Linked DNA regions of Mus musculus. The protein of the gene in region 1 purifies or fractionates together with the protein of each later gene. This does not show direct contact. Links are inferred from orthologs where the notes say so. Each region holds a gene or a part of one and is shown in the gene's direction. Other genes may lie near its edges.

Region 1 (4,075 bases):
TGCGCTCAACAAGTGAGCAAGCCCTTTCTCTGGCATCTTGATCTTCTCATTTAAAATTTCATGGCCAGTCAGTGGTGGTGCACGTCTTTTATCCCAGCACTTGGGAGGCAGAGGCAGGCAGATTTCTGAGTTCGAGGCCAGCCTGGTCTACAAAGTGAGTTCCAGGACAGCCAGGGCTACACAGAGAAACCCTGTCTCAAAAATAAATAAATAAATATTTCATGATTTTGGTGGCTTATGTCTGAAACCACAGCACTTGGGAAGCAGAGGCATGGTGGATTTCTGTGACTTCCAGGCCAGCTGGGGTTTGTAGTGATACCCTGTGTCAACATAATTTCAGCAAAGAGTCTAGTGAGATAACTCAATGGTAGGGACACTTGCTGCCAGTCATGACCTGCGTTTGATCCTCAAATCCTGTAAGTGATCTGACTGCTACAGGTGTGCCCCACCCCCCAATAAGTTAAGAAAAGCATATACCCAACAGGTTGTTGTGTTAATCACACACTGGGGAGGCTGAGGCAGGAGGCCTTCCGGGAGTTCAGAGACAGCTTGGGTCACATACATAATGAGCTTCAGGCTAGACTGAGCCAGAGTGAGGCAATAAATAAATAATGATAAAGTCTCAGTCCCCACTTTGATGTTCCCTATTGAGTATTTTTACATATTTGTGTGTTCCCATTACATTTCACTTAGAATTTTTGGCTTGTTTATTGACTATCGTCTATCCTCTACACGATAAGACACATTCTCAGCAAGGATTTTTGCCTGTTTTGCTCGTTAAAGCGTCCTCACTATGTGGATGAGTACCCAGCGCTTTTAGTATTTAAATGAAAGAGAGTTAGCTGAGAAATACACCTAGCGAGCTCTCTGTCAGAAAGGATCCAGTCCGTCTCCAGAATGATCTTCCTGTGAAGGATGTCAGTGACTATGATAGTTACTTAGGAGCTGGAAATAGGTTTAGTGGCAATACTAAAATATAACACTACAAATCCCGAAAAGCCTTGGGATGTCTGAGTCTTTGCTTCCCATAGTGCTCCTTGCGGCGCAGGCGCATTACCTCCGTCTTGAGCCTCGGAAGTTTGAATCACAACCCCCACCTCCGCCCCCCAGGTGCCTGGCTTGTCGTTGGTTTGTTTCCGGATACAGGGCCTCGGGAAGGTGGAGCCTAAGGCTGGGAGCCAATAGTACAGGCTGTCAATTGGCCAGCAAATGAAATTGACGTTTTCATCAACTAGTGGGAAAAAGCAGTTGCCAAAGGGTCCCGCCTACAGAAGGGGAAGAAGGGAAGTGGCCGCCAAGGCAGTCGCGGCTGGACAGTGCTCAGGCCCGAGGACCAGTGGTGCCCAGACTTACCTTTGACCTTTCCCTGCCCGCCTTCCGCCTAGCTTTTGAACCACACCTCCTCCAAGTTTTTCTGATCCAGCGCATTAGACCTGCACCCAAATCATGTTCCCGGTAAAGGTGAAAGTGGAGAAATCAGGTGAGGACTGGGGATCCAGGAGAGATATGTTAATAGTGAAAAAGCGGAGTACGCGACATCTCTCTGCAGCCCATATGACAGGATCCTCTAAAAAGGGTCCTTTTCTTTTTCTACCTCACTTTCCCCATTTCTGACAGTGGGCATGAGTCATCAATTGTGGAGTGTCCCTGAATCAATCCTCACTGGCTGTGCATTCCAATAACGCTAGGGTGTAGGGTGATAAATAGACAAGGTGGGAGGAGTGGCAGGGTGTAGGAAGGAAGCGGGCAGCAGAGCAGCTAGGGCGACTGCAGCCGTGAGGAAACGGAGGCAGAGAGATGGGAGGGGAGGAGGACAGATCTGTGGGTTCTGGGAAGGGACTTTCGACTTTTCCTTTGAGGGAAGTGGGTAGTCTAGGGAGGTTTTTGAAGAAGGAGTGAGTTGGTAAAGGTACACCCCAAAGTGCAAAAAAACAAACAAACAACAACAACAAAGCTTGAGTGGACATCCTCAGAGATGCAGTGAGTGGAGAGAGGGCTGTTCGTGTTGGCAGCTGCCTTTATTCCCAGGGCATGGAGAACAGAGACAAACGGATCTCTGAAGTCAAGGCCAGTTTGACCTACTTAGCAAACAACATGCCAACCCAAGGCTATATAGTGAAGAACTGGGGGTGGGAGGAGAGAAATATATATAGTGGAGGGAGCCTCACTACAACTATGCAGGTAGGACAAGGGTGGGTTTGGAAACGCCAGACTGAGTACAGACCCCATTTTCTGGAGTCAGGATTGAAGACTCCTTGAGGGTTCTGTGCTGGAGAAGATCAAAGCCACGTTGTGTTGTCTGTCTGTCTTTGTATTTTTTCTTTCTTTTGCTTATTGTTTGAGAGAGGATCTTTCATTGCTGAGGCTGACCTTGAAACTCTTGATCCTCCTACCTCAGCCTCCAGAGTGCTGGGATAGCAGACATATGCTATTATGCCCAGTAGGCTTGGCTTTCTTTTAGGAAGGTTCTTTTGTCTGCATTATAAAAGGAGGTGGATCAGAAAAGATGACAGAGGCTAGGCGCTGGGTGGGAGGAAAAGGCGAGGTAGGGAGGGGATATATTGACAGACTCCCACAAGCCAAGTGAGCTGAGACTGGGGCTGGGAAAGGAGTGCCCACAGCGAGTCAGGAGCCTGTGGGCCAGCTAGTCACGCCTCATGGGAGAATCCAGGGAGTGGAGTGGGTTTCGAGGAGACCTCAGTGGGAATACCCTAAGGGCTGTCCATGGAAGGTGTCCAGATCCTAGATTCCTGAGTAGGTGTTGGAGAGAAAGAGCAGTGGTAGCAGCTGTGCCCTTGGCCCCGCCTAAGGCTCTGTCACCCTGGTTCTGTCTTTAGTTGGTCTCTCCACTGAGTGGCACTAAAGCTGCTTTCCAAGTAACTGGACCAGACAGGACGTAGGATCGCCTCCCACGGCGAATGTGGGAGGCGCACACAGAGCTGATTCCTACCTTCTACCCTCAGAGATGGAGATGGCCAAAGCCCGGAACCAGCTGGATGCCGTTCTTCAGTGTCTGCTGGAGAAGAGTCACATGGACAGGTTGGAACCTGGTCCAGCCTGGGGAACCACAGGGTGGGAGCTGTTTGGACTGACTCTGATTGTTGGAGGGGGGATGTGGATGGGAGGCTGGAGGGGCTGCCTAGGGTGAAAAGTGCCCCATGGGATGTTTCATGGGAAGACTAATTAATAGCATCACACTCTGGGTCCTTGGTACCCTAAGCCAGTAGTGTTTTTTTTGTTCCCAGGGAACGCCTGGATGAAGAAGCTGGGAAAACCCCCTTGGATACGCACAACAAGTAAGGGACTTTGATGGGATTTAGACCTGAGAGTTTGGGTTAGGTAGCTTTTCTCTCTGCTGAGTCCTAACCATCTTGCATAGACAAAGATACCTGTTGTATAAGTGGCTAACACCTTAGAGGAGGGTATTGGTGGGATACAAGGCCCAAGGAGTACCAATAATCCCCAGGATGTTAATTTTTGTTTGTTTTTAGAGCTAGCGATAGAACCCCAGGGCTTTTGCCCATGCTAGGCAAATGCTCTGTTCCTGAACTACGTCACTTCCACCTTGGGGGGCAGCGTTGAGCAGCTGTTTATTAAAGCCTCCTGACACCATGTCTCTCCCTGCAGGGATTGTTCCATTGCTGCCACAGGCAAAAGGTAAGGTGGCTGGGACCCCAGCTCACTAAAAGGTTCCCAGTCCCCAGCTCCGGGCCTGACACTCACCTTAACCACACAGGCCATCTGCCCGCTTCCCCCACCAGCGGAGGAAGAAGAGGAGGGAGATGGACGATGGGCTCGCTGAGGGGGGTCCTCAGAGATCCAGTGAGTAGGCAGGGGACTGAGAGGGTGGGTGTGGAGCCAGGAACTACACACTTATCGCCTACCTTACCACCCCAGATACGTATGTGATCAAGCTATTTGACCGGAGTGTGGACTTGGCCCAGTTCAGTGAGAACACACCACTGTACCCCATCTGCCGCGCCTGGATGCGCAACAGCCCCACAGTGCGAGAGCGCGAGCGCTCACCCGGCTCACCGCTGCCTCCTCTGCCCGAGGATGGAGAGGTAGGATGAGT
Region 2 (3,500 bases), on another chromosome or scaffold:
ACATACTGTATTTCTGAACTATACATCCACCTCTTATATAAAAACTTAAGAGTACTGTTTTCAGGCTCAATGTATAAGGAATATTTTGTACAAAATATTTTGTTATTCATATGTGTAGATTACTTACAAAACTATAAAAGGATAAGCAGCGTGCTACACATGGCTTTATTAAACTTCTGATAAATTATGTCAATATTTAAAAAATATTTAGATGTTTCATTTTGCTTTTATACTTTTGCATGCACAAGCGTAGATATCACGACTCAATAAGTGGCGTTTTCTTTATTGCAGGTAATTGAAGTATTTATTAGAGCAGAAGACGGTCTTTGCAGAGAAGTGGTCAAACACCTCAATCAGATTGAAGAACAAATTTTAGACCATTTGGCATGGAAAACCAAGTCCCCACTGTGGGACAGAATTAGAGATAATGAAAACAGAGTCCCTACTTGTGAAGAGGTTTGTGACAATATTTTAGCATCTTTCTGTAAGGGAAGCGCATCAATATTGTTTATAGCCCTCTTCTACAGAGAGTAGTTGGAGCTGGGGTCTGCCCTTTGGGGTGTAGGGCTTTGCAGTGTGGTAAGTGGTTTATTCCTGTATCAAAGAGAAGCCTGTAACTACCTCAAGGTCTCCATGACGGTAAAGATTGAGGCTGCTGTTCTGACCATCTGAATCATAAGGTACACTGGCTCGGACATAGTCTTCATATTGGTTTTGAATCTTTTAAGACTGAGAATTTTTGCTTTAGTAATTTTATTAAGAAATAATTAATTGGACAAAAATTGTTGCCTTTTGGTTTAAGATTATTACTGTCTCTTTCTTTTTCTTTTTATTCTTTTCCCTTCACTTCCCTTTCCTTCCCTTTTCCCACCCCTCCCCTTTTCCCTCCCCTCCCCTTTTCCCTCCCCTCCCCTTTTCCCTCCCCTCCCCTTCCCTTTTCTTTCCTCTCCGAGACAGGGTTTCTCTGGGTAACCCTGACTATCCTAAAACTCGCTCTGTAGACCAGGCTTGCCCTTGAACTCACAGAGACCCGCTTGCCTCTGCCTTCCAAGTGCTGGGATTACAGGTGTGCACTGCCTTACTGCCTTTCTAGTGAAATGCTTTTTGATTGTTAAGATTTTGTGCAAACGATTCTTTATAGGTCATGCCACCTCAAAACCTAGAGAGAACAGATGAAATTTACATCGCTGGCTCTCCCTTAACCCCGAGAAGGGTGGGTGAAGTTCGTGCTGATGCTGGAGGACTTGGAAGAAGTAAGTTTAAAATACAAAGACGAATATTTTGGAGTCTTGAATCTATATACTTAAATTCCATCTAAACTGTAAGTAAAATTAATAGGCTATGCAGAGCAAAGAGTATTCTGTGTCCTTTAGTGACATAGTGATCACTTAAAAAAATTTTTTTTTGTTTTTTTGTATGCAGGAGGGTTGGGACAGGATCTTGTGTAGCCCAGGCTGTGGCCTTGAATTTGCTATGTTACCAGTGGACTTCTGAGAGTCCATTTCCCAGTGCTGGATTCGAGGTGTATACCACCACACCTGACTTAAAAATGCTTTTAAGGAATGGTAAAAACATTAAAAATTATTCTGAGAGGTTTGGCTATATGGCCCAGGCTCCTCTTGAATTCTACATTGTCTTGCTCCCCACCCCCAACAAGGATTGCGGGAGTGCCAAGCTTATCTTTTTAGAACACTTTTCATTAACTTGACCTTTATTTGTAAGTGACTATCCATTTATAAACATACAAAAGGGCAGAAATGGGAAAAGCAAACTGCTAACTATACTTCCATTGCTGGCCATAGGATTCTCAGTGAATTCTCTCATTCTCTGAAGTGTGTCTTCCTTTTTATGGTTCTATTTTGTTATGTTTATTGGAGAAAGGAGTCTCACTGTGTTGCCCAGGCTAATCCATCCCTGGTCCTCCTGACTAATCTCTTGCATAGCTGGGAATCAGGTGTGGAGCGCCACAGCTGGATGTTGTTAAGGGTGGAGCTCTGAGACCCAGGTAGATAGAGATAAGCCAGTGAGGCTGGATGGCTCCAAGAGTGGAACATGTTCATCACTGGAGCTGTGCTGAGCTACTTAGTAATGTGACTTTGCTGCTGGCCCAAGGAACACAGAAAACCCGGCTTATGTTTTATAGCTCCTTAGATGACTGCCTAGGTGCGAAGTTCATATTCATGTGTGGGGTCTGTCTTCCTTGAGATTCTTTTCGTCCCCCCCCCCCCCGTTGTTGGAGATTGACACCAGGGCCTCCCAAATGTAAAGTACACATCTTTTAAACTATTTTCAAAGAATAGTTTATATACACATACATGCATACACACATACACACACACACATATATACACACACATACATATATACAATATATACATAAAATACATATAAACACATACACACACACACACACAGACACATATCTCCAAATCTATTAGAACATTGCTAACACTAGGTCCGTTTCATAATGTACTTGAAAGGCCTTAGCTATAAATGGATCAGTTTTAAAATCAGTTTACTCTAAGTCAGTGTCTACTCAGTAAATATGGATACAGGCCGTGGTGGCAGACTTCTGTAATCCCAACACTTGAAGGCTAAGGTAGGAGGATCTTAACTTTAAGGCCAGTCTGATTTTGCTTCATGAGACCCTATCTCAAAACAATAACAGAAAACCAAACTAACTCACCAGTTAAATGCTTTTTGAAATCTTCCTCATTTAAAAATTGATTTTAGATTTATGTGTATGATTGTTTAACCTGCATGTATATGTGTGTACCCTGTGTGTGCCTGGTGCCTGCAGAGGTCAGAAGGTGCTGGACCCTCTGTAAGGTGTTGGACCCTCTGTAAGGTGCTGAACCCCCTGTAAGGTGTTGGACCCTCTGTAAGGTATTGGACCCCCTGTAAGGTGTTGAACCCCCTGTAAGGTATTGGACCCTCTGTAAGGTGTTAGACCCTCTGTAAGGTGCTGGACCCCCTGTAAGGTGTTGGACCCTCTGTAAGGTATTGGACCCTCTGTAAGGTGTTGGACCCCCTGTAAGGTGTTGGACCCCCTGTAAGGTGTTGGACCCTCTGTAAGGTATTGGACCCCCTGTAAGGTGTTGGACCCCCTGTAAGTATTGGACCCTCTGTAAGGTGTTGGACCCTCTGTAAGGTGTTGGACTCTCTGTAAGGTGTTGGACCCCCTGGAAGGTGTTGAACCCCCTGTAAGGTGTTGGACCCTCTGTAAGGTGTTGGACCCTCTGTAAGGTGTTGGACCCCCTGTAAGGTGTTGGACCCCCTGTAAGGTGTTGGACCCCCTGTAAGGTGTTGGACCCTCTGTAAGGTATTGGACCCCCTGTAAGGTGTTGGACCCCCTGTAAGTATTGGACCCTCTGTAAGGTGTTGGACCCTCTGTAAGGTGTTGGACTCTCTGTAAGGTGTTGGACCCCCTGGAAGGTGTTGAACCCCCTGTAAGGTGTTGGACCCTCTGTAAGGTGTTGGACCCTCTGTAAGGTGTTGGA
Region 3 (3,500 bases), on another chromosome or scaffold:
TGGGCATTGGGGGTTTTCTTTCTATGTTTGAGTGTTGTGCTGCATTGTCTATGTGGACTGCATGTATGCCAGCATCATCTCTCCTGGAACTGGAGTTGTAGGTGCTTGTGAGTCGCCACGTGGGCACTGAAAAGTAAACCTGGGTCCTCGGCAAGCATAGCAAGTGCTCTTAGCCACGGAGCTGGCTGTCAGGTCCCTCATGGCGGTGGTATTTGTGAGGTGAGGTGTCCTGTGCCACTGGCTGGCTGGAAAACCATTTTGTGTAGAACAGGCTGGTCTTGACTTCCTGGAGATTCGTTTCCTCCTTTCTCCTCCTGAGTGCCAGGATTAAGGGTATGTGGCATACTCCTAGGCTGTATCCTCAGCCGGGCATGTTCCAAGTGACCCCTAAACTGTTTGAGGAGATGGCTGGGTTGGCTCTAACATAGGAGGTGATAGTTAAACCTTATGTGCATGCGAAGTGTGATGGGGGCAGGTGCTGTGTCCCTGGCACTTGCTCACCAGAGGCTATTAAGAGTGTCTAGGTATTGGAAGCTTTGACACAGAGATGGCTCTGTTAACACAGAGGTGCCTGCCTTGCTGGTTTGCACTCTGGGCCCTGCCTGTAGCTTCATGGTAAAGCCTACCTAACCTTCCCTGAACCTTTCTAAATTTGTAGTTTGCTTTTGTGTTTAAATTTTTTATTTTGTATGTAACTAGTAGAATCACGCAGTGTATAATACTGAACAGCTTTTATCTGAAATTAAGGTGCAAAATGAATCCTTAGGGTGTTTTGAGGGGAGAGTGTTTTGGAAGACCTTGTGGTCTGGGTACTGGGTGTGGCTTGTTGGCCGAAGGCTTGTCTAGAGTGTGGGAGACTGTGTGTTCTATAGCAAGGCAAAGACGCATCAACAGGACTCCCATATTGGCTTGAAAGCTAGAAGGGGGCTCTAAGTGATGTCAGTCCTCAGTATGTGCCAGTTAGCAGTCATGTGGCTTGCTGGAACTTTGGGTCTGGAAGACTGGGTTTGAACCAGTCTCAGTCCCAGCAGTAGTGACATAGGAAAGACTGCTTGTGACCAGGCTTCCTCTTGTCCTGAGGAGTAGCAACCAGAGAACCCTAACCGAAGTAGCTCTTTGGTATCTGAAAGGCCAGTGTCCCTGGGGGCTTCTGCATGCTGTATTCACATGTGTGATGGTGGAATGTGAGCACACCAAGGGGAATGTGGCCCTTTTCCCAGTGTCAGGGTGCAGATGGAATGGGACCCACTTCCGGCCAGCATGGCTGTGCTCCCCAGGGCTTTGTCTGCAGCCTTTGGATCTGGCCGTGCCAGCATGGAGCTGCTACTTTACAACCTGGTTTTCCTCTGTCTCCTTGAGGCCTGGGCACCTGGCCTCCTGGATGTGCCTTTTCCTCTTCTCCCCATCTCACTTGCTGATATTTCCTTGGTCTGTTTTTCATTTTCCCATCTGTGTGTGCACACGGAGGGTGGAGCATGCATAGGCAGCCATGGGTACACAGGGCTGAGCATTTGCCAATCATGCTGTGCATGAAGGTGGGGCCTAAATGTATGGCGACGGCGACTGGGACATTTGATGCCAAAGGTAGATAGCTCCTATATGCATAGTTTTCCTTCTATTGTCAGATCCACAGAGAAGATGTGTGTACCTGAGGGTTGGGGAGCTCACTCTGCACTGTCCCTCAGATGTGCACAGGGTCTCTGTGTGTCCTGATGGATGTAGATCTCAGTGAGTAATGAGGCTGCCTGTCAGGGGGCCACCTGACCCTCCTTGGCACAGCATATCAAGAAGTGCTGTATGGAAGAGTTGAATCTGGGAGTAAGTTAGCTTTCTTCAGATTCAGTCATTTGGCAGCGTCCGTGCGGCCAGTGGGTAAGCCAGGCACAGTGCCCTCCTGCACACGCACAGCCGCAGGCTGCTGGCAGGTGCTCCCAGGCCAGTCTTGAGTCTAGCACAGCTGTGCATCTTCTCAGGGGTGGTTGTTTTGGTGCTGCGGAATAGACTGAGGTCTCCCGTGAGCTCCAGAACTTTTGCGCAGCCTTCATGCTGGTGTGGGATGTGTCAACGTGACTGGCAGGCAGTACTGGTGGGGGACGTAAAGCTCTTACTGTCTGGGGATGGGGAGGGATCCCCTGTTCCCGCCTGAGAGAGTAAGCCAAGATGCACTTCCCGTCTTGTGTGGCCTAGTGCTCCCAAAGTGTACCCACACCTTCACTGGATCCAGGTATCTCAATTCAGTTCCTGTGGGGATATCCCCAGAAGAATTTGATCACTGAAGTGCTCTGTACTTTGGGATTTACCAGAGGTCTTTTTGACTTAGAGTTATGTGTGTAGTAAGATTTTTGACATTGAGACATTGGTTGTCAGAATAGGACAGTTGTCTGTCTCCAGAATAACAGGTTTGTGTGTTAACTGAGGGAACTAAAACAGCAGACCTCTTCCCAAAGGACATCAAAAACATTGCTATAAGAGTGGTCGCCACATCAACTCTGGTAAAACTGGTTACCTGATTCCCAAGAGCCACCACCTCTGGTCAGGTGAGCTGCTGGCTGTGTGCTCCCAATGGGGTTGCCTGTCCCTTTCTTGTCCTGATGATGTTTGGATCCTGAGGTCCCTCATAGACAGTAGAAAAAGGTGTCCCCGGCAGGACAGTCAGGCACCACTCCCACTTGGGAGCTGGAAGAGGTACCTGTTGTCTGTCCTAGGGTTACAGTTCTGGAAGTCTGTCTGTCTGTCTTCTTTCTTTCTTTTGTCCGTCCTTCCTTCCTTCCATCCTCTCTCTCTCTCTCTCTCTCTCTCTCTCTCTCTTTCTTCCTTCCCTTCTGGTAACTTTTATACTTTATAGGGGCAGTTTTATCCTTGCCTAGCTCATTAAGAGGAAATAAACCAGCAATGTGTTACTGTCCTGTGATTAATCCTAGCTATCAGTAAGTTGCCTCCTTGTCACTATCGGTGTTCTTGCTGTGGGAGGCCTGCCTTGTCCTTTCCAGCCCCTAACTGTGGCCTGCTCTGTCTTCTTGAGCCTGCCTACCTGTTTGAGACGTTGATGTTCTTTTAGATGTACGGGTGTCTGAGCTGTGTGGGGTAGTGCCACAGCAGAGCAGCGTGCTTCTCTGTTGCTCTCTCACTGTGGCTGACAAGGCAGAAGGAAGCGGTGGTACTGTGATGGAGACACGTCTGATTGTTCTGAATTCTCTTTTGACTGTAGGTGATTGGCACGCCTCAGAGACCGGCAGCATCCAACACTATTGTGGTAGGAAGCCCACACACTCCCAACACGCATTTTGTGTCACAGAACCAGACGTCTGACTCCTCACCTTGGTCTGCTGGGTGAGCACCCCCACCCCAGTTTGGCAGCTGCTGAGAATGTCCCCTTTGTCCTCTGGCCATGTGTCACATGGTCTGTAGTGGGGGTCCCTGAGCAGAGAGAGCGCAGGGCTCCCATCTCACCTCTGACTGGGCCACAGAGAACACCGGTCACTAATACGACACAAACGCTT

What was found.
Region 2: the proteins of Lin37 (region 1) and Rbl2 purify together in Homo sapiens (affinity purification with western blotting; 5 studies listed by BioGRID and IntAct, with this or other methods). This does not show direct contact. The link is inferred for Mus musculus from reciprocal best matches to the Homo sapiens genes LIN37 and RBL2.
Region 3: the proteins of Lin37 (region 1) and Tfdp1 purify together in Homo sapiens (co-immunoprecipitation; 3 studies listed by BioGRID and IntAct, with this or other methods). This does not show direct contact. The link is inferred for Mus musculus from reciprocal best matches to the Homo sapiens genes LIN37 and TFDP1.

Annotation. Positions count from the first base shown.
Region 1 is NC_000073.6:30,556,847-30,560,921, reverse strand, and holds the start of Lin37 (protein lin-37 homolog), read left to right. Parts: upstream 1-1,275; 5' UTR 1,276-1,446; coding exon 1,447-1,480; intron 1,481-2,837; exon of another isoform or gene 2,838-2,963; coding exon 2,964-3,039; coding exon of another isoform or gene 3,040-3,072; intron 3,073-3,245; coding exon 3,246-3,296; intron 3,297-3,627; coding exon 3,628-3,657; intron 3,658-3,736; coding exon 3,737-3,822; intron 3,823-3,897; coding exon 3,898-4,064; intron 4,065-4,075.
Region 2 is NC_000074.6:91,101,057-91,104,556, forward strand, and holds part of Rbl2 (retinoblastoma-like protein 2), read left to right. Parts: intron 1-291; coding exon 292-456; intron 457-1,141; coding exon 1,142-1,253; intron 1,254-3,500. UniProt on the Homo sapiens protein: Key regulator of entry into cell division. Directly involved in heterochromatin formation by maintaining overall chromatin structure and, in particular, that of constitutive heterochromatin by stabilizing histone methylation.
Region 3 is NC_000074.6:13,366,251-13,369,750, forward strand, and holds part of Tfdp1 (transcription factor Dp-1), read left to right. Parts: intron 1-3,208; coding exon 3,209-3,330; intron 3,331-3,500. UniProt on the Homo sapiens protein: Can stimulate E2F-dependent transcription.